Linked DNA regions of Oreochromis niloticus. The protein of the gene in region 1 interacts with the protein of each later gene in a pairwise test. Links are inferred from orthologs where the notes say so. Each region holds a gene or a part of one and is shown on either strand. Other genes may lie near its edges.

What was found.
Region 2: the proteins of nck2a (region 1) and hoxc4a interact in binary tests that used the Homo sapiens proteins (3 or more experiments, as listed by UniProt). The two-hybrid records come from large-scale screens. The link is inferred for Oreochromis niloticus from reciprocal best matches to the Homo sapiens genes NCK2 and HOXC4.
Region 3: the proteins of nck2a (region 1) and abl interactor 2 interact in binary tests that used the Homo sapiens proteins (3 or more experiments, as listed by UniProt). The link is inferred for Oreochromis niloticus from reciprocal best matches to the Homo sapiens genes NCK2 and ABI2.

Annotation. Positions count from the first base shown.
Region 1 is NC_031987.2:20,986,204-20,993,710, reverse strand, and holds the start of nck2a (cytoplasmic protein NCK2a), read right to left. Parts: upstream 3,018-7,507; 5' UTR 2,899-3,017; exon of another isoform or gene 2,703-2,898; intron 679-2,702; exon of another isoform or gene 593-678; intron 1-592. UniProt on the Homo sapiens protein: Adapter protein which associates with tyrosine-phosphorylated growth factor receptors or their cellular substrates. Maintains low levels of EIF2S1 phosphorylation by promoting its dephosphorylation by PP1.
Region 2 is NC_031984.2:19,198,628-19,205,718, reverse strand, and holds hoxc4a (homeobox protein Hox-C4a), read left to right. Parts: upstream 1-4,087; 5' UTR 4,088-4,937; coding exon 4,938-5,373; intron 5,374-5,884; coding exon 5,885-6,246; 3' UTR 6,247-6,871; downstream 6,872-7,091. UniProt on the Homo sapiens protein: Sequence-specific transcription factor which is part of a developmental regulatory system that provides cells with specific positional identities on the anterior-posterior axis.
Region 3 is NC_031987.2:29,356,848-29,364,730, reverse strand, and holds the start of abl interactor 2, read right to left. Parts: upstream 3,005-7,883; 5' UTR 2,979-3,004; coding exon 2,862-2,978; intron 1-2,861. Other genes in the region: transmembrane protein 237A, read right to left, coding at 3,824-3,891, 4,542-4,663, 5,337-5,424, 6,094-6,167, 6,619-6,810, 7,728-7,848. UniProt on the Homo sapiens protein: Regulator of actin cytoskeleton dynamics underlying cell motility and adhesion. Functions as a component of the WAVE complex, which activates actin nucleating machinery Arp2/3 to drive lamellipodia formation.

The sequences.
Region 1 (7,507 bases):
CTTGCTCGGAACAAAGTCATTTTCCACTGGCTTCCACTCAAAACAACAGAGGAAAAAAATATTGTGCGGGCACAGCGCGGCAGTATGCAAGGGATATTTTTTTTTTTTTTTTTTTTTTTTTTTCTTTAAGGCCCATTAGGCATACACAAGAAAGACGAGCAGAGTAATTAGTTGCAGCTCATAAAAGTGCAATCAAATACACAGAAGAAAGAGGATTTGGATTACTCTCTCATCTGTAAGAAGAAAAAAAATGCAGCTCAAATGACAAACGTGCACATGTTCCAAGTTTGATAGGGGAAGTTAAGACAAAAAATAGCAATTTGTCACTAAATGCGAGGGCGATCTACACGCTCGTATTTATATCAACGTCACATATACTAAGAAATATTCATATTACATTATTTTCTCTAAATCGGCACCAAATGTTTATGCAATCATCTGACGTCCAGAGTATTCTGTTCAACATTTGCTACGAGCTGCCTTCATATCAACTTAAAGTGACAAAGCTCATGCAAGGTGGAAACAAACAAAGTCATATATTAACACCAGTGTTTGTTCTTTCTATCAGATTGGATATGAGGTTAATCATTACCTGTTGTCCAGGCTGCTTCATTCACTTAGGCACATTATGGTAGGAAAAACCATGCATGTTTTAATATCCAAATGCTGAATCACACACTGGTTAAAAAAAAAAAAAAAAAATAGCTTCAGTTCATCTCCAGCATTTAACACTTGGCAGACTATTAAAGGGGAAGTTCCCACAGATTGACTCTTAAAATTTTTGACTTTATTAATTGATGATGGCTGCCTGAACGCACCATTGGTTTCAGTCTCCGCAGCACATGGAGGCAATTTAATGTGTGTCATTTTGAAAAGGGCTCTTCTATAAGTCCAGCTTATAATGAAACATGTCAATTATAAATTCTTGAAAGGAGAGGTAATGAAAGACTCCTTTAAATGATGCAATTGGAGCAACCAGCAGTTAGAAAAAGCCCCAAATAATTGGTTTACAAAGATTTTAAAGAGGGAAAAAAGCAGCATCTGCAAAATTGACTTAATCAGCTTTAGATTAAAATGACAAAATTGCTTAACATGTGCACACACTTGGTAATCAATGATTCCTTCAAAATGTACCTACAAAATATGCCTTAGATCAAAACCTCATTTAAAAACATACATGCAACAGGATACAGCAGGTTTGCAACAATTATCTGACTCACTTCTACATTACTTTCTCAGTTATAACTGTTTATAAGTCGTAAAATAAAATTCTAAAAAAAGGCACGGCGTGAGTTATTTTAATACCGCTTTTTTTGATTGCCAATCAAAAATGCAATAATATTCAGCTTACAATCATAGAGGATCAAGAAATGCAGCAAATATTCACTGAGAGGTGGAATCAGACCCAAATTACCCGATCACCGTAATTCCCATAACTAATAGTTTCAGGTCAAATTTAGGGTTTAACTGAACCACCACATAATCTACAACACTCATACTAAATGTTACTTGAGTGTGAAGTCAGCCCGAAAAGCTCACATTTCCACTGAGTACATGCAGTTACTGCACTTCTCGGTATCATTAGCAGTCTTTCTAGTTTTAGTTTCTGATATGCTGGAAATGCAAAGCACTGAAACTCGCGTTCTCTCTTTGCTTTGTGATGTAATGGACGTTTATGCAATTCACACTTTATCGCTCCATTATTGCACATGCCTACACGGCATACCTGTCACTTCTGAGTGAACCTTGTCCTAGACTCAGAGCTAACATGGTGCTCTTGTCAGAGGGTGTGTCGGCAGAATAGGTGTGCCACGCAAGTGTACCTGCATGTTGAAAAAAAGAAAAAAGAGAAACTGTGCTTTCTTATAACCTCAGTCCTTGCATTTGCATGCAAGTGCAAATTTCCCCCCGTCTTCTAGAATAAAAGGGACTTTAGTTATGGACAATAACTGCCACAGCAAGACAGACAATGCATGCTATTCTCTGCTGCTATTGATGAGGAGGACGCACGGTGTAGTTACCATGAAAAGCCACTAGACATTCAACATTGACAATCTCGGCATGTGGCACCAGTCGCCAGTCTATGGTGTTTTGGCAAATGTGGTTCATTGTGTAAGCCACTGCGTTTTTAAACAGGCCTGCTGACAAACGCAGTGCATTGTAAATGTAAAAAAAATAACATGAATTTATGTGTGGATTTCTATTAATTTGAGATATAAATGCGAGAAATTACTCAAACAAGAGCAGCTGCCTGAGAAAACAGTCTAAAGGACCTGCCTGAGGATTGCTTGAGTAGCTTGCGCTTACAGGCCTTTAAGAAGTGGCCCCGCACAAAAATTGCTAAATGGTAAAGTTGATAAATTGAAAACCATTTAGTCTGGCTCTAAAAATGAAAAAAGAAAAATATCACTGTTTGTGTGGCTAGTTAACAGCAACCACTCAAACGCAAGGAAAAACCGAGGCTGTAGCACACAGCGTCCAGTGAAACCACCTCTGAGTGGACAAAGACCCAGCGTCAAACCTACAAAGTGGCACGAGCAAGCTGCCGTTTTTCTTTACCCCAACTTTTACTTCAGCTTGTAATGACATTTTTCGCGGGCAAATTTAACTAAAAACGGTTGTTTAAGCAGCACTGAAATGGCCAAAGCGACCGGTCCAAGTGCACCAACTTAACACAGTTCATTTGCGGTTACAAGGCTTACCTTAGTGTTCACTCCAGTGAGAATGGGCAAACAGCGACACGCTCAACAACAAACCCCGAACCAGAACCCGCCAATCAAATTGTAAGTTAGGGAGCCCGCGCGAAAGCCGCAAAGATAACCCCCTACATCCACATATCCACGGGTTTCTCTATTTTTTCTTTCTTTTAAAACAAGAATCGAGCATGAAGTGTCCGACCTATTATCGCTTGTTTTTTCCGTCGCAGGCTGACTGCCTCCACCTCAATCACTCGTTTCAAGCTTGGTCTATGGGGCTGCCAACTTCCGCTCTTTGCTTTCAAAATAAATTCTTCTGGGCGTACAGACGTTGCAGTCAAACGAGCTGAATTTGAAATCCGGAGGAAATGGTGATAGAAGTTTAACTTCCAGGTGGGAAAAATAGATTTTTAATAAATGTGTTTAGATTTTTAAAGTTTTTAAGTTTTTAAGTCAGATATGTCTTGTGTTTCGGTTTATGCCTTTTTTTTTTTAAAATCTCCAAGTAACCAGTATTTTATTTAATAAGTTAATTCAGATGATTCGTCAAAATATCTGCCCTTAAAGGTGTCTAGAAGCTTCACAAAGACTTGTTTCCAGAAGGATTCTGGGTCTTCTCCTTCATCTGACTGCTCCTTTTAGGGGGTCACCACATCAGATGCTCTGGCTCCATCTCACCCTATTCCTGACATCCTCCTCTGTCACACAACCAACTTCATTACATCCACGAATCTTCTCTGTCATCATCCTCTTTTCCCCCTGCCTGGCAGCTTCATATCCAATATCCTTTGTTCAACCTACGACCTATCTCCCTCTCCAAATGTCCAAACTCTCTCTAATTCTATCTCCAAACTTACCTGGTCACTCACAATGAAAAATTTAGCATCTTCAACTCCCTGTCCTTTTTGTTCATCTCCAAACCCCACATAACAGCAGGTCTCACTACCCTCCCAAGGTGGCTGTGGCTAGGTGTGAAAAGAAATGTTAAGCAGGATGCAAACAGAGATTATGAATTTAAAAATATTTTATTTTCTATTTTAATTTTTATTCAGTTTTCTGTTATTCATGTTTGCGCCTACAATTTTCAATGAAATTTTGCTTCTGTGTTATCCAAGTGATCTAAGACGACTAATGCTTTTATTTCGAAGACACCTTCTTTGATTTCCGGTTTGATTTCGTTGAGTGCGCTCAGCTTGATCGCCGGTCCCCTTGGTGACGTCACCCACACCGGGACTCGTACAGGACAACGCCGAGAGAAAGGGAGAAAATGTGAGGTACTGTGTCGCCCCTTGGCGACCACACTGGGAAAACGGATGTATTTTATTTTATTTTTACATGCAAAGTGGTTTTTTTTTTCAATAGCCTGCAAGTGATTATCTTGAGTAAACTCATAAACAAAAACTTAGTATTGATGAGTTCATCAAAAAGTCCCTGCTCGCCCGTCAACTATGTAATTAATCATACCAAAGTATTCGTCGTATATTACACAGTAAACTCCATTGTTCACACACTAAATTTAGACTTTGTGCGGTTGTTTTCTCATCTGTGTGTTCCTTCTCACGGTTTTCATCACTCAGATGGTGTGCTATTTACAGAAATAAATCATCCTACACACTTGAAACTGTTAAAAATAACACGAGGCGGAAAAGACGTTGCATTTAGCTCATGTTAGAGTGAAAAAAAGAGTTAAAAACAGTCAAACACCTTGACACGCTAGAGGTTCAATGAGCAGGTCTGATATTTACCAGTACTAAGGTTTAGTAATCAAAGAGCAATCAGATTAAAAGCAATCAGAGCAAAATCCCCCCCGTTGTATTTTATGTTTGTTAGACACACCTAACATACAGTATATGATCTCATGAGTACTGACAAGGCCGCATTTTCATGAATAAACCTTGAGCACGAGTAACCGGTTGCATAATAACAGGTTGGTTTTTACATCCAATCAAAACAAGTCAGTCCTAAGATGGTAATAAAAGAAAGCTGCACTGAGTCGATGCCGATCTGATTTAGGAATGGAGTCCCTACTGAAGTGTCCAAAGTGTCCCGTTTTTCCTTGCTCAGTATCCCACGGTGATTTGCTTTTATGGGCACCATTCGAAATCAAATAATGTTCTAGATCTAATTTTGAGAAATTAGAGCCGTGGCAAAAGGCCAGAATTTAGTCAATATCTCTAAAGACTTTTTCTCAACTATATATTACATGTCAGTTTTATGACAGTTTGTCTGTCATGTAAGAAAAAAATAAAATAATATCGCTGTTTTGAATGCTGTAAAAGTGCAGTCTCACATTAAGACTACATCCTGTGTCTCTGACTACTACACATTTGTAATTTATGACTGGATTTGGATCCTACTCAACACACAGTTTTCATAGCCAAAACCTTCTGTTCCCACTAATCTCTTATGTGCAATATCCATCTGTTTTAACAGTTCAGTTGGCCCAAATCCACCGATGCTGATTCATTTATGCGTACCGTGTTACACTGCGCCTTCACACGTCCCTATTCATTCCTGCAATGTAAAGCAAAGCAGTTACCTGTAAACGCCCTTTGACACTCAACTCAGCAGGCCTGAGCGACACTTTTTTGTCTTTATTTCAAAGTGTGCAGTGAGAGTGAAAATAACACTGCACGTGTATAGAGAGGCTCTTGTAGCATTGGATTTGCTGTCACAAGGGGGCAGAACATCCTTGGAAGAAATGCATATCCATTACTGGTATGCCAAAAGCTTTAATGTGCCCTAAATGCTGCAGCAGGTCAGATGTAGTGCACCAAAAGTATCAGGATGTCTGCCTGCATTGTTCCCCTTCTGCAACACAAAAGCTAAAATGCTTTTTGTCCCTTCTAATCCACCAAACTCTGCACCACCAATACAAAGTCGCAGTATCACGACTCAGTGTGTCCCATTTGCATGCATATTGTAAGAAACAGTGCTAAAAAGATAAAGTATGTGACCTGGATCACGGGCGCTGTCCCCGTAATCATGTGCGAATGCCTAACATACCAACCTTCATCACCATAGCGTCAGGATTTGACAAATAAATGACCATCTGCTGACCTTTTCACCCACACTCCACTCCTCCACCCCTCACCCCAACCACCCTGTCTTATTCATCATACACAATTTTGTTTTCTACCTCAACAAACTAATTTAATTAGAGGACAGTTGGATGAATAACTGTAAGCACGTGCTTATTTTTAACCATCCACGTTAAAAGTTAAATCCGTTTTAATGCTGCGGACTCACGGGTAATTGGAAAGAGCTGATGTGCGTGTTCACACTGCTACACTTGGTATTATTAGATTTCCCGATTGGATATCATTCAGCATAAAGTTCATTATATAACTTTCAAAAACAACATTACATGTCTAAGGGGGGAGGAGGCGGTGTTTAATGTTGCTGAAGAAGTGCAAAATTATTGGAATGGTTTGTCTTTCATACCCCACTCCTCCTAATCCCGAGGCAAACTTGATTTATTAATCGAGACTGAGTCACACATGTCACCACTCTATCTGCTGCTGCTATAACCAGGATGTCTTCCATTTTAGAGCCACGCCCCTCATATTGTCACCAGTGACACTGTATCGTCGACTGGTGAGGGGCCTGCAGCTGAGCGGAGCTATAGTTACCATGCTGATGAAACTGGATGTTTATTTTGGCAGAAAGGCACCCCGTGTTTAAGTATATCTGACCGGAGGTGGTGATGTACGTGATGAACCAGCGGCTCCTGTGCTATGTTTGCAATTCACTGACCTCAAGGCCAAGTGAGACTTTTAGCCTTCTGAAACATAGATTACGTATGATGGAAATGAGCATCTTTGATCCTTCAAAGAGAGGATGTATTCATCAAAATGCAGAAATGTATTATCTTGGTGTCACAGATGTAGATATGGTGCTTTCCCCCCGCTGTTAAAACATCCACTTTGGAAAAGGCTGGTTTGAAGAGGGTATGAGAGTTGGTTAGTGGTTTGTAGAGACAGAGTTACAGAGAGTTAATGGGTGGATATTAAAATTAGCTCTCACATGTGTTTCTGGAATAAAAAGCAGAATCAGAATAGTTTAATAATCCTCTATGGTTGCAAAACCAGCCCTATTCATCACCACTCTACCACCGTGCTTAACAGCGTTGTATGAGGTGTTTGTGCTGATATGCTGTGTTTGGGTTTTCTCTAAATGCAGTGCTATGCAATATAGCCAAATAGTTCCACTCTGGTCTCATGTATCCCAAGGACACTGTTCCAGAAGTCTTGTGGTTTATTCAGGTGCAACTTTGCAAACCTAAGCCGCGCTGCCATGTTCTTTTTAAAGAGAAAAGAGGCTTCCATCCAGAATAGTCATACAGTACTTGTTGAATGTGTTTCTAATTGCACTGTCATGAACTTTAACATTTAGCATGCTAACAGAGTCAGAGATGTAGCTCTTGAGTTAATTGCAGTTTCTCTGAGCACTGCACAATCTGACCTTGAGGTGAATTTGTTGGGACGTCCAATCCTGGAAAGTTTGGCAACTGTCTTGAATGTTTTCCATTTGTGAACAATCTTTCCCTCCACAGGATGACAGCCCTCTCTGGCAGAAGGAAGCCTTTCTGTCAGAAAAGTCTTCCAAAACAAACTCCTTGCATTCTGAAAAAAGAAATGTTGTGAAGGGAAACATCTACCACAACCACATGAGATGTTTTGTATCTGGTATCGGAAAGCTATATACATCACAGTGACATGGCTGATCAGCTGGAATGATGGTGTTAGAGCCACATTAATATGATTCATTAGGGGGAAAAAAACACCAATACAGCAATGTCTTTACATACA
Region 2 (7,091 bases), on another chromosome or scaffold:
GCAAAAATTCATTTTGTCACTTAATGAGGACATTTTTTTTATGGACCTTTATGAACCATTTTGTCATCATTACCCTTTTAATTTTTTCGTTCTTTCTCTCTATTTTTCAGGCATTTCAACGAGCCAAAGTGAGTGAGACTGCGGATTTAATAGTAAGTGTTACGCATCGCCCCACGCTTATCCACCTACCTTTATTTAAGAGTAAAGCTTGTCTGGCGGAGTTGTTTTTCCAATGACAGCAACCACCTTAATATCTGCACTTCCACTTAATTTATTCAGACACTCTGGCATTATGTTCTTTGTCTCGTTTCTTACGATTTCAAACATAGAAGCCTAAACAAAAACTCCAACTTAAGATGGAATTACCATCCTATACTCTCAACTTCTTGCAGTGCCAGTTAGCCGGATTTAACTGCGCAGTGAGTCTTATGAACCACATCATTGCTGCAAAACCAACCAACTGTTTATGTGGGGAATCTAGTTTCTGAAACCGCCTCTGCTCCCTTGGCTGCTGCTTTTTAAAGAGTATTCATATCCAACTAGTCTCCAGTCTGTCTGCACTTCATTAAAACTTTTTATTTTAACTGGACGATACAGCTTAACGTTATTACACCTGGGGAGAGTAAACGTGGAAAGGCTATTAGGTTAAGAGTTTGATTAAAAGCGCATCGTAACCGTTTTCATCAGGGAGCACAATATTGCTGCACTGTCTGCATCCAAGTCAGGTACTCGGCCACCAAATTAAAAAAAAAAAAAAGAGCAGCACTGCGTGGACAGAACGACCTCCACATAGTTTTGCACAGATTTATTTTGTTTACATATGTACATGTGTGAACACGCTTGTAAGGCTGTTATTTTGCAGGGGAGGAAAAGGGAAAGCTTAATTTCTCAAATGAACAAATGAAACATCAAATTAGTCCGCCTGAGGGCCTCATTTTTTGTACTTCTACATTATAACTAGTTATTGAACTAGGTGCACGATCTGAAAGCCATTTGTGGGGAGAAAGAATTCATTGCTGTCTCTCCATCAATAATCCTTGGCAGTGAACTATTGGAACCAGTCAAACGCGAGGGGTGAAACGCGGGTCAGGCTGTCTAACTAATATTAAAATGCGTCCGCCAGAGCGCATGGGGCGAGAGGGAGTAGGTGGTGTGCATGTAGCTCCTTTCACACTGGTTGTGTGCACGACAAACAGCATGTCTTTTGATGAGAATATGAAAAAAAAATCCAAATGAATATGAGTTAGATTTTTTTTTTTTGTTACCACTTCTCGGGAGTTCACTGTGTGTTGGGGCGGGAGGCTTTGTTAATCAATTTTAAAAAATCAAATTGATGCGCGGGATGCTGGCGGAGAAATATGTAGATTGAGATGTTTTTTGACAGTGTTTGAAGCACCCTGTGCATCACCGCTCTAATCAATTCCATTGATTCACAATCTGAGCATGTTTGCTGTTTTTAATAACCCCGAAACAGGTCACATGTCTGATATTGCATTTTTCATCCGAGGCTTTTCTCATTAGCTTCCAGAGTGGCAGCAAGAAAGGTTACCGAGCGGTCAGTATGGTAATAGCAAGCAGAAGAAATGGTTGGGAACAATAGAAACTTATTTTTCATGTGTGCTGTCACGCCGTCCCTTTGTATCCTTCGTGTTTGTGGCTGAATATTCATATAGGAGGTACCTCAAAGGCAGAGGCTGAATGTTGAGAAAAGAGACCCTTTCTGTTCTCTGCGTACGGCGTCTTTATGCTTTGTGTGTGTGTGTGTGTGTGTGTGTGTGTGTGTGTGTGTGTGTGTGTGTGTGTGTTTGCAGGCATACGTGTGCACTCATGGATATTTTATTTTTAGAGAAAGGACGTAAAATGTGTGTTTTCCATTGCCTGTAGATGTATCCATAGCAGGAGTGGGGTTTGTTTGTGACTTTGCTTCTTGAATCCTGATAAACAGAATCCGCTTTGACGCACGCTTTCTGTGGTATTTCCACTCTGATGCTTCTTGTGACACGACTGCGAAATGCACGATAACCTGCTTGCCACAGATATTTGCCCGGCAGATGACCTTTTACAGTGTCTAACCTAAAACACATTAGTTGTCTATATGTACCCTGTAGAACCGAATTTGTGTGAAGTACAAGCAGTCGCAAATACGTCTCTACAGGAATACATGGGCAACTGAAATACCACGCCAGTCGATGGATTGTTCTGCATCTGCTTCCCTTCACGTCTCTCTGGCATTTTTTTCTTCCTGCTTTTGCATATACAAGCATCAACGATGATACATACAGCCTGCATCCACCCCATCCACGGGCTCTAGCAGTGCAATAACGCTGTCACAAAGTGTATTCATAGCTCAGACAGCCACAGATTGTGTAGGTAGGCCACAGAGAACGTGCAGTGTGCGGCTACTACTGTGTCAGACCCTGTAAAACACGTTAGGAACCAGGGGTCGTTTAAAAGTGACTGATTTACGGCTTTTATTGCTCTATAAAACGCCTCTAACATCCTCACTAGGGGTAATAGAAATGTCGTGCGCATTCTTTACAAACAGTACAGCCGGAATTATGATAAGCAATTTCACGTCGTTTTTAACCGTATTATTTAACTGCTGCTGTGAAAATAGATGCTTAACTTGCAATGTGATGGTTTGAATGGAAATATACCATTGTATTATTATTATTATTATTATTATTATTATTATTATTATTACTCTCCACCTGAAGACATATAAGTGAAACATGGGGGTGTTAAGGTGATAGGGAGGTTAACTTCACTCTGTCTGCCTACAGCTGACTCTGAGACAACAATGGGAAGCTTCCAGCACATGACAAGTTTATACACCCAGGCAGTATCAGTTTACAATAAAACAACAGACCACCAGTGCTGTAGACTGTGGCTCATGGTCAGTGCTTCAGCCAGGGTTAGCATGTAACATTTTCAGGGTGGATTTTCCTGAAGGCTGCTGAACAAAAGAAAATGTTCTAATACTTTCAGTGTTTGTATTTTACTGTTTAGAGTAACCATGTTTTTTTTTTTACTAATCATAGGGATGTTGCATTCTGCAATTCTTCTTCAGCACTTCTTGTAGTTTCGATGGCCTGTCTCATCTGCCTAACAGTGTTGTTTTTCCTCACATAGATGCTGTTCATTGATTGTTCCTGCGCTTTTATTTGGGCCATTACAAAGCTCAGAAACATGTGCACCAAGTAACAGATAAGGGCTTTTTCAAGCTGTAAAACTGCAGTCAGAAGAAAGGGGAATTAGCACCACTCAAGACCACAAGGACTGGTGGCTGATTTCTATTTACACGTGTCGTGAATTGCTATCATGCATTTAGGACAGATGTTCACTTAGTCAAGAGTGTGTACAGCAGACTCTCTTGTCTGCAGCAACTTCACAGTGACACAATACTGGTCCTGCAGTTAAATCAGCAGCTCATTACACCCTCTGCTCTGTGACATAATAGTGATGTAGTTTCACTGCTGGCTGGTTTGTGAGCTCCTGGTGAATGCTTCTCTGCAGGGTTGTGTGTCCCTGATCTGTGACATCATATTAGTGATATTATGTAAGTTTGATCAGTTGGATGTTTCACGCCTGCTTAGCCCGCATCTGTGTTGCAGTTTTGTTGTGTCTATGACATTTTAGTCTGTGGCATATCAGGGTTTATATTCAAGTTTTGATTTATGCAATGTTTTGTTTTTTATGGTTGCTTTGTTGTGTTGTGCCTTATGGAAGCAAAGATTAGAGATTAAACAAGTTTTGCTTTGTCTTTCTGTAGGATAGAATAGAAGCACCTTGGATGGATTCTCAAAATCTTTTATATTGTAAAGCATTTCACAACTTTTGTTCCAGCAGATTTTGGCTACATTAAAGCAGCAACCTCAGATACAGAATCCTTCTGTAATTCAGTCCCATTCTTAATGCTATATACTGAGATATTTATAACTGAGCCATTTGTATCTTTTACATCTTTTTCGTTATATTTTGTAACTTTGTAATATACTGTATTATTTAATTTAGTGTAGTTATTTACTGTTCTTACTGTCTTGGAGCAACTGTGGCCACATAATTTCCTCGGGGATTAATAAAGTATTCTGATTCTAATTATTCTTACCAATTTTCATTTAAAAGCTGAAAAAATCCATACAAATGTGTAGTCTGAAAGAAATTAATACGGATTCGAAATAGATAGACCTAAATTTCTCATTGTTGAAGAACCTGCCACTGAGGCAGATTGTTTCTCTCTGTCCACTTCTGTCCAGCACTACAAATGATCAGTCTTCATCTCCTCCAAAGCTGGAGAGCATTCACCTCTCCACTGACATTCATAGTCACGATATCTTACCTATGTTACTGCTGAAATGGTTTTTAGGGAATAAAGAAAGAAAACTTAAAGAAAGAAAGAAAGCAATCCAGACCTTATTCTTAGTCTCGTGAAGAGACCCTGGACTATGTCACAGCTGAAGCTTTGTTGTCAGAGACGGTCTTTGTTAATCAGCCGATCATCTTTATATAAGGTGTTATAACTAACACAATAACTGGTTTGCCATTGTTGTACCTCATCCTTGTCCCTTTGAATAATTGAGACCACTGTATTTGCCTGTTATATTTTTTCCTTGGTCAGCAACTAGCTACTAGTTTTGTCCCCAAGATCAATTGCCTTGGTAACGCAGCCAGAGAGAGAGAGAGAGAGGGAGAGAGAAAGAGAGAGAGAAAGAGCGAGAGAGAGAGAGAGAGCGAGAGAGAAAGATTTGTGCCCACAATGGCGACTGTAGGTATGCTAAATACCTCTGGTTCCTTATCCGGGAACTACCTCTTACCCTGCTATTGGGCCATTGGGTCACGTGGTAAAAGTAACTTTACAGGGCTGCTCGCAAGTAGGAGGGCTTTATGGAGCAGAAAAACGACAAAGCTAGAAAAATTATTTTCCACTCCAGAAATTAATGATCATGAGCTCGTATTTGATGGAGTCTAACTACATTGATCCGAAATTTCCTCCATGCGAGGAATATTCGCAAAATAACTACATCCCCGAGCATAGTCCAGAATATTACAGCCGCGCAAGGGACACTGGCTACCAGCATCACCATCAGGAGTTATATCCTCCGCGGGCGAGCTACCAAGAGCGCCAGTATAACTGTGCAAGCATCCCTGAACCTGACACGCCAAGGGGACATGGAATACCCCATTCTGCGCATCTACTGACAGGGAAAGGGCAGCCTGCTTCATGTGAAACCCCACAGTTGTCCATGTCCCCCGCCACCCCACCGGCCGCAACCTCCGCCTGCAACCAAGCTACCCCGGAGCATCCAAACAGCACAGCCTCCTCCAAACAGCCTGTGGTGTACCCATGGATGAAGAAAATTCACGTCAGCACTGGTAGGCAACTTGTGTGTTTATGTTCCCTGCACTCCTCATGCTCCTCTCTCCCCTTCCCTCCCTTTATCAGTCCCTCTGACTCCCATCTCGTTGCCAGCCCCTGCTCCGATAGCAGGGAAGCCTTTGAAATGGCACAATTGAGGCGGATTTACGACTCGGCATTGGTAATTACACCCACCATAAATTTTATAGCCGAGGTATACTCAGGGCAGCCGTATCACCATGTGGCTTCTGCTGTTATGTATTGCGCGATGGAGAGAGGGGGAGAAATGAATAAGAAAAAAAAAAATCTGAGCTTTGTAATCTTGCATTAATAATTTAGCTCATAGTTGGATGTGAGTGTCCTCTCATTACGTAGAGAAGTTCTTAACTTCCCATTTAAATTTCTCAAACAGCTAAACATTCATAACCAATAAATCTTTCCAGCCATATCTCAGTTGAGGCCATTCTTGTTTACCCCTCCTTTCCTCCCTTCTCTGTCTCCCTTTCTCTCCTCTTCTCCTTCTTCCAGTGAACTCTGGTTACAATGGGACGGAGCCCAAGCGGTCTAGGACAGCATACACCCGGCAGCAAGTCTTAGAATTGGAGAAGGAATTCCACTATAACCGATATTTAACTCGGCGGAGGCGCATCGAGATCGCACACACCCTGGTTCTCTCCGAGCGGCAGATTAAAATCTGGTTTCAAAACCGCAGGATGAAATGGAAAAAGGATCACAGGCTCCCGAACACCAAAGTGAGATCCTCGTCCTCTTCCTCCGGGTCCAACACAAGCTCAGCAGCCGGCGCTGTTGCCGCTGCCTCGGCCACTAACACGGGGGCCCCCGACGAACTTACCGGAGCCCAGCATGGCGAGGATATTACCAGGTTATAAAACCATGAACCAATACTGGGGGTAGAATAAGAACTGGTTATTTATAGAACACTTATATATTTTGTTTTCGTAGCTATCTTGTGCGGTTTCCTTTAAGTCCAAAGTTATATAAAATGCATGTTATATAGCATGGATTACTGCGAATACCGATGAATTATTTTTACGTGACACAGGGTTTAATTTATTTGAAGTTCAATTAAAATGATGTTTTTTATTAAAAAAATGTTTTGAATGAAGGAAGAAAAAGTAGAAAAAAATATACATTTTATCAAAATGTTATTGTGGGCCATTCTTTTGCCCTGCTGCCCAAGGTGAAATGCACAATCTATTTATTTCAAACAACACTGGAAGGAAATCACTATAATAATAGTTATTTTTGGTATATAAAAAAGAAAGCTGGAACACACCATTGATCTTGAACTTGTATGTTTAGGAGAATAACAATGTGTGAATTACCTCGTGTATTTCAGAAACAGGATTTTTCTTTTTCTTTTTCATTTTGCAATTTAGTTTTGTGGTGTTGATGTTGTGTTTTAGACCGTTAAAAGCAGATTATTGTGAAATGCAATAAACGGAGTTTAGTGTACTTGTGCTAATCATATTGGTCAATAAAACAGTGAGTGTCTACTAGTTTTAAATACGTTTGTTCCAAGTTCATTTTAGGTAAGGTGAGGTCTACTGTTGCAAGATTGGAGGCGCTCCTTAAAAGTGTACAGATGTGTGAATACTGGACATTTCACGAGGGAAACAAAAATCACTGTGTTTTTAAACTGTGTTTGTCAATCCTGCAGCTCCCTTTTTTGCGTGTTTATATTAGCAATGTGTACAGACACTGAGTGTGTGTA
Region 3 (7,883 bases), about 8.4 Mb from region 1:
CTGGTTCTGCTGGAGGTTTCTTCCTGTTAAAAGACAGTTTTCCCTTTTCACTGTTGCCAAGTGTTTGCTCACAGGTGTTTGTCTGCTTGTTGGGATTGCACAAAATAAAATGGGAAGGAGCCCTTGTCCTCCCCACTTCCAGGAAGCCTTTATTTAATGCTCAAAACTGACCACACCCATGTTCAAAGCCAGCATTCATTTTGATGTCAACCACAGACGTGCAAAGCTTCATGACTGTATCTTGTACAGTTGCAACATTATGTTATTGAAAATCTCTGTTCACAGAAAACAAATAAACACTCAGAGCACCTTGATGCAGGTAAGGAAATCAACTTTCTGGGAATGCAAAAGTAAAAGAATAAAGACACTCTGTAACCCCCCCCACCCCCCCCACCCCCACCCCTTAAAAAGCACTAGACTGTTTTAAATCTGAATTTGGACCACAATGATGCCAGGATGTGGCCACATAAGACCAACAACAACTTGACCCGGGTCAACTCTGAATCCAAATATTTAGCCCATAAAACAGGATCAGCACACTGCGCTATTATGTAACAATCACATCATCTGCTGGCTGCATAAATGTAGGCCATCCTCTGGGTACTGAGTTAGCCATGCTAGGCTCAATCTGAACATGCAGTGTGAGCAGTCTAACGAGCTAAAAAAGACTTTCAGTTTTCCTGAGAAGATGACATGTTACTGCTGATGTGACTGCTAAAAATGAGAAAGCTAATGCCAAGCTAGTACTGTGTGAAAACAGACTGAGAATTTCAGAGAAATAAAAAGGTCAAAGGTTATAAAGGAAAGAAGAAATAGAGAGGAGAAGGAATAAAAGAGGGGAAAAAGAAAGCGCCCTTGTGGAATTCATCATGTGTAGATGTGCAGAACAAGATTTCACTGTGTCGGTCTGCTGTGACGCATCATGTAGCGCCTGTGTGCTTCTGGCCTTTAAAGAAGAAAGACTGTTGATGCACTTTCACTTGTTGACTGACAGTAAGACTCACACAAACACACGAATCTAAATGAAATGTGGCGATGAACAGGTGTGTCTACAGAGCCAGCTGAGGAAGAACAGTTGTCCGTAACAGCCTTGTCTGCCCACGTACACTCACACACTCTCCGATAAGCAAGCACGGGGGTGGAGGGATGGCAGCCCAGTACAGATACTGGTGTCTAACTCACATTCTCAAGAAGCCATCAGTGGATAAGCTGAGTGTTAATTTAACACTAAATTCAAGGGGCTGTATTATGCCCGTGACAAATGACTGTGCTATAATACAACAGCTTCAAGTAAGTCGCAGTTGAAAATTGCCGTATGTGCAGTTTTAGATCCAACCTTTGCTTGTCACGTCCGGTTTTAATGACATGACAAACATTACGTTTGGGGGAAAAAACCCATCAGCTTGAAGATTCAAAAACAGGACTTCACAAACCAACAGCTGGCGTAATGGTGGCTACGTCCATCTTTTAGACCATCTATGGTTTGAAAAGCAGGTGGTGGGCCTTATGTGCTTACAGCCAGAAACAAAAAGTTTGGTTCAGCGTGCAGAGCAGAAACAGTGTCAGATAGAAACAGTGTACAAAGTATGTGATAGAACAGGTCGTGGTGTTGTTGGTCCATTTGCCAGCCACAGAGAAGATCCACTCTTGTCCCCTTCCCTTCCATATGCCCACTTGACGCATACGTCATCCGGTTCCACCAATGATGGAAAGAGCAATGAGTGCAAACCCCTTTTCCTCCATGTCATATTTGCATAAATTAGCCAGAGTTGTGAGCCTGACATGACCATATTAGGGATCTCCGCTGTCACTGACGTCATACAGAGCCAAGAGGAGAAGAAAGTGTCTGAAACTGAGCATTTAGACCACTTTGTTTTGGTTCACAGGAATAACTTGACCTCATGGTCTGAAACTTTGGCCATGTTAATATGAGCATCAACCACTGTAACAGCATAAAAAAGAAAAGCACAATTTGTATCAAAGAAAAGCTGTCAGCTATCAGCGATGATATTAATCATTAGCTGCATCTTCAAGGACAAACGGAATCTATAAAGGATCTATACTAAAGATTAATCTGATACATTTATTTGTCATAACAGCCGTATTTGCCACCTTGATGGCAATTTGAAACAATGTTTTTACTAGATACTGAAGACTTTAGATCAGGACTGAAACTAACAATTATCTTCAAATTTCCCTAATTCTGCCGGTTATCATTTGATGAAAATAAATAAATAAAAACAAACTGTTTATAGAATAGCAGTAAAAGTAAATCATAAATCTCAGCAGCGATTTACAGTGCAAGTTATCGGCCACAATCACATACCAGTTAAGTGTCGCGCCAGACTCCCATTAACGCATCTCTGCTCAAGCGATTGCCTGCTTACATAAACATCACAAACTTTGCAAGAGACATTTTACTAGAAAAACGCAACTCGACAATTAATTCGGCACCCATTCAGTGAACATATTCAAACTTATTTCGGTTAAAGCAAACTTTTAAAACTAACCCAAATCCACCCATCACATTCCCACAGAGTCACGCTCCATCAGAAAACAACACGGTGCTGCGCAAACCACTTACAAAAGTTGATTTTTCACTAGTAAAGATGTGTTTGAGGATATTTTTCAAAAAACCGAATTGACCCCGACACCCTTCGTATTCAGGCATCAGCGGGTCAGTGTTTGTATTGAATTCGCTGTGACTTTTCCCCTTTACATAAAAACCACGGGTAACATAACGGAATCTGGCACGGTCATTCCATCACTCCTCTATCCAAACCGCCTACTCCCAACTGACATTACCTCGATATGTCATTTCACCCAACTTATACACTTGCTGTTTAAATATGAGCATGTACCTGGACATAGTTGCTTTCGCAGTACTCCGCGACTCTTTCCAGGTTGGTAAAACTGTCCAACAACGCTCTTCGTCCCGCAGGAATTTCCTCCTCCAGCAGCATCTGCAGCTCCGCCATCTTTACATGGCTTTTACTACACGGCTGCAGCGCGCGCTGAATGGATGGATCCTAGCGCCTTCAGGGGCTGTGCGGAAATGTCAATACTGTGATGGCATGAAGAAAAGTGGGAGAGTGGGAGTGCTCTGAGGGACTACCAGGCACAAGTGTAGAGCCCACTGTCGTAAGGTGGGGCCACGATATTGTTTCGTTTGACTGTTTAACCTTCTTTTTTAGGGAATGTTAATCAAAGTCACGCAAAAACATCTCGGAAACGACTACAAACTGTTATGAAATACACGCAGGAGGTGATGCAAATGATGAAGGTAAAAGAGGCAAATAGAGCTCAGAAATATTACAATTACTTAGAAAACTGCTACAAACAAACAAGGCACACAAAATGACAAATGACATCAAACGGATACACAAAAGGAGACACATCCAAGTACATGCAAAGCGACTTCCCAATTACAACACACAGCATAAAAAATTGCTGTTGTGTATAAAAATTGTTACAGGCAAAATGGGTAAAATGACCACAAACAGAAAACACACAAAGACACAAAAACTGCAAAGTGATGAAAACACAACAGACACACAAAATGACTTCACAGACAAAACTGCTAAAAGGTGCAAACGACCATAAGCAAAAATAGAGGAATGAAAATAATACATACAACATTTACAAGTGGAGTACAAACACCAGAAAGTATTTTATGCTCTTCTGGCACTTATTCCTCTGCAGAAGTATCAACCACCTATTACCATATAGCCTTTATTAGTTTATTTGCAAAATCAGCTCAAACACAAAGCTACATTATACAAAAACATAAACAGACTTGGAGACAAAGAAAGAGAGAGAGGTTTCAGGCCGGAATGTCCAGGTTCTCATCTCCTCTCGGGTATCCCTCCACTTCCATTGTCATCAAAAACTCTGCAAAAGGAAATCCAGACCATCAGCTTACATTTCTACAAAGCACACACACGCTGGCTTGCTGACATGTGAATGTCTGCCATTTGCTTTTAGGGTTTGAACATGTTTCACTTTGCTTCTATCTAGTGGTGACATAAAGAATGACACCAGGAACACAGCAATGCATCAAAAGTATTACTTTTATACTATATACAGCTACATTTAAATTAAAAAAAAGTGATGTGTCATTAATCCTTCAGACTACCTGGTGTATTTGGAGTCCAGGAGACTCCATGTGCGTGTGCTGTGTGGCCAAAACCTTGCAAATCCTACAGAAGCCTTTTACGATTTCTGTTATTGTAGTTTTATTACCACTTTTTCATTTTATTTCACTGTTTCCACAGGATGTGAAGTATCATTAACGTTTCCTGTTTGCTCAAGAAGGTGTCCCCAAAGTTAAGTAACATCCCTCTGTGTGATCTTTACATTTCATTTTCTATAAAAAAAGTTTTTGAAGCTTAAAAGGAATACATATTTGTTATGAGCAATAGCATATTTTTGTACAAGTAATGCAAAAGACCAGAGAACTGTACTTAACTACATTTGGTTACTTTCCATCACTGGGTGATGGAATGTCCAAGTCATATCAGGTTAGTTTTAGCTAAACTTGCCTTCTGTGTAGTCGATGTCTGGTCGTGTGGAGACGACGGCCCAGGCCAGGCCCACTGATAGCGCCACCACCAGGTTCACTACAATCCACGGCCGCAGGATCTGCTGCTCTGAACCAGGAGGCCTGCAGGACATGAGAGGTTAAACAGCAGTTATTAATTTACCATTCCATGTCAAGATTGAGTCCTCAGGAGGGTTTTCCAACCATGGTAAGGAGAAAATAGCAGAACTCTGAGATTCTCCAAGTTAAGTTTAATAAAAGAAATGCATTAGCCTCTTAAAAGTCTTTGGCAATGGTACCTCAGGTCTCAGTGTTGTTAAAAGGAAGATGTTCCTTTTATGTGGAAATGTGTGAATGTTTTCTGGATACTTTTGGTTTTCAAATGTTTTGTTTTTAAATTTGCCAAACAATTGAAATGTAAGTATTACTCAATATATAGAAAGATATTCAAATTAGTTTCATCATGGGAAAAAACCAACATGTGACTACAATTGCCTGAATAAGGGTTACACTTTTGGTAAAAATCAACTTCTTATACATGGTTAGTGTTCTACTAGAACCACAGAAATATTAATAAGTATTAATAAGTATTGTATAATGTAAAACACCTGCTTTTAAACCATCCTGCATTAGATATTTCCTTTTAGCCCTTTAAGCTCCTATCAGTTTTTAAATTCAGTTGCCATGTCAACCTTGAACTTGTTGTGGAAAGAATTGCTTTCATCTGTTTTTCTCTTTACTTTTCCAAGATCACGCTAAAAATGCTGACTTATAAAAATGAAAACAAAAATCTCACCACAGAGTCTCGTTGGCAGTGGGATACAGGTTGATGCGATCACTGGCCATTTGCTGGCTGAGGGACAGGATCAGGGCTATAAAATACACTGAGCACACAAAGAGAGAAGATGTTTGGATACTTACAGGCATTTAAAAAAGAACATTTTCAGTTTTCTATGAGATCCTGTAAAAAACCACTAAGAGAGTAAAAAATGACCAGTCCAACATGCCTAGGTTCATAATTCATTAGCTTTAGATCTACCTTAATCGCCCTTACAATGAGTAAATGTTTTCTGTATGACTTTATCAGTCTGTAACATTGTTGTGGAGGAAGTTTGGCCCACTCTTCTTTAAACCTTGGTTCTTTGTTCATGCACAGCTCTATGAAGCCGCACAGCATTTAAGCCAGACTGAGGTTTGGATTTGCTGCTAAGCTGGCGGTCATTGTTCTTCAACATGACCCAGTGTAAGCCAAATATTACCTGTCAGACAGATGACTTCACTTTTGAATACTTTGATATGCAGAGTTGGGGGAATTGGTGCTATGTTCACTCCTGGAAAGACGACTTTGGAATGACAGACCAGCAAATTGCTAAAGCCTTTATATAATTGAATTAATCAGGTGCATTTGATTAGCAGTACCTGGGTCCTACTTTTGTAATTTCTATGGAGGCAGTAAAGGTATCTAGTTTTTTACATGACTGCATAGTCCTTAACCACATTAAGGCCTTAACATCAACATCATCATCATTCTGCTTTCGTCTTGTCTTACTTACAGAAGGAAGCCAGAGCGACAGGATCCAGGGTGAGGAAGCCTCTCAGGGCCATGGAGGCCTTGGCCAGGTTCACTCTGAAGATGGTGCAAAACAGCAAAGCTCTTACTTTTCACCTTCTTATTTATTCAAGTCAACAATTCCTGTCCAGCGGGAATTTGGATAATTATGAGACAATTTCTTTTAATTGCTGGTGGAAATACAGGTCTTCAGTACACGTTCCCACCAAGTGCAGATTCTTAATTTCTTTCAAATTACAAGAGCAGTGAAATTTTGGGATTGTTAGTTTAACAGTTGAGATGAACAAAATACAAGAACAATGCAATTTAAACAATAAGAGATGAAAGATATAAAGTAAAAATGCACAAGTTGAATAATTAAAGATTTTTCAAAGATAATTAAAATGACATGATAAAGGCCACAAACTGAACCGCACTCCTTTAAGTAGCTTAAACAATGGCATGGGTTCCACCTCCACTTCTCAATGAGAGTGTAGAGGTAGACCTCTGAGTTATTAAACACACAAACCTGTCGAATGCAGACACAGTGCTGATGGCCAGCAGCAGGTAGAGCAGAGACTGAGCCGGGTAGGCCAGCAGGTGGTACTGCTGCAACAGGTTGGGGAGCGTGGTCATCTGCTCGCCCGCTAAGACGTACACAACAATGATGTTCCACACTGCGAAGCCGGCCAGAAAACCGTGGCAGAACAGACCTATCACCCTGCAGGTGGAGATCACACCACAGGACCACGTTAAACTGGTTTCATGGCAGCTACTCATGCTACTCATTGAAATTGATGTCTTTGTTTCTCTGTCACAAAACAAGAGAAAAGAACTGCTGAATTGGTGTATTTAGGACCACTGCAGTATGATGGCATAGCATGTGAAATATTTTATATCAGATATACATTCACCAGCCACTTCATTAGTTACACTTTGCTAGTACAGGGTTAGAACCCCTTTCTGATTTCTTTGTGGCCTAATTTCAACAAGGTGGAGGAAACATTCTGGTCCATGATGACATGATGATGCACATTTCCTATTCCAGGTGCTCTTTTGGTTTGAGATCTGGTGACTGTGGAGGGTATTTGAATACAATGAACTCATATTTAAGAAAGTAGTTTGAGATGATCTGAGTTTTGTGACATGGTGCATTATTCTGCTGGAAGCAGCCATTGGAATACGGGTACACTGTGGTGATAAAGCCATGTTTAAATGATGCTTAGTTGGTACTAAAGGGCCCAAAGCGTGCCCACATACCATTACTCCATCATACACAGCCCAGCCAAACCTTTGACATAAGCAAGGAGGGGTCCATGATTTCAAATTCTGAGCCTGCCAGCCTATCACTCATACATACTATACTATCATACTCAGACCAGTCTGTCTGGTACTAAGAACCACGCTGCATTCGAAGTCACTTAAATCACTTTTCTTCTTCATTCTGATGCTCAGTCTGAACTTCAGCAGTTTGTCTCGATCATGTCTACATATCTAAATGCATTCGTTTGCTGCCATGTGATTGGCTGAGTAGACATGTATAGGATACATAACAGTTTGAAACAGCTGCTGCAGCTAGCTCCTGCCAATGTTAATGTAACCCATTTAATGTGTATGTGTATGTGTGTGTCTGCAGACCTGAAGCTGCTGTGGACTCGTATTGCAACATCTCTGGTGGTCCAGAGCTGTCTGGGTTCCATGTAGTCATCCATCAACTCAGAGTGTCGGAGATGCTCCACTCGCTCTCCCTGAAACCGCCCTGAACACACACACACACACACACACACACACACA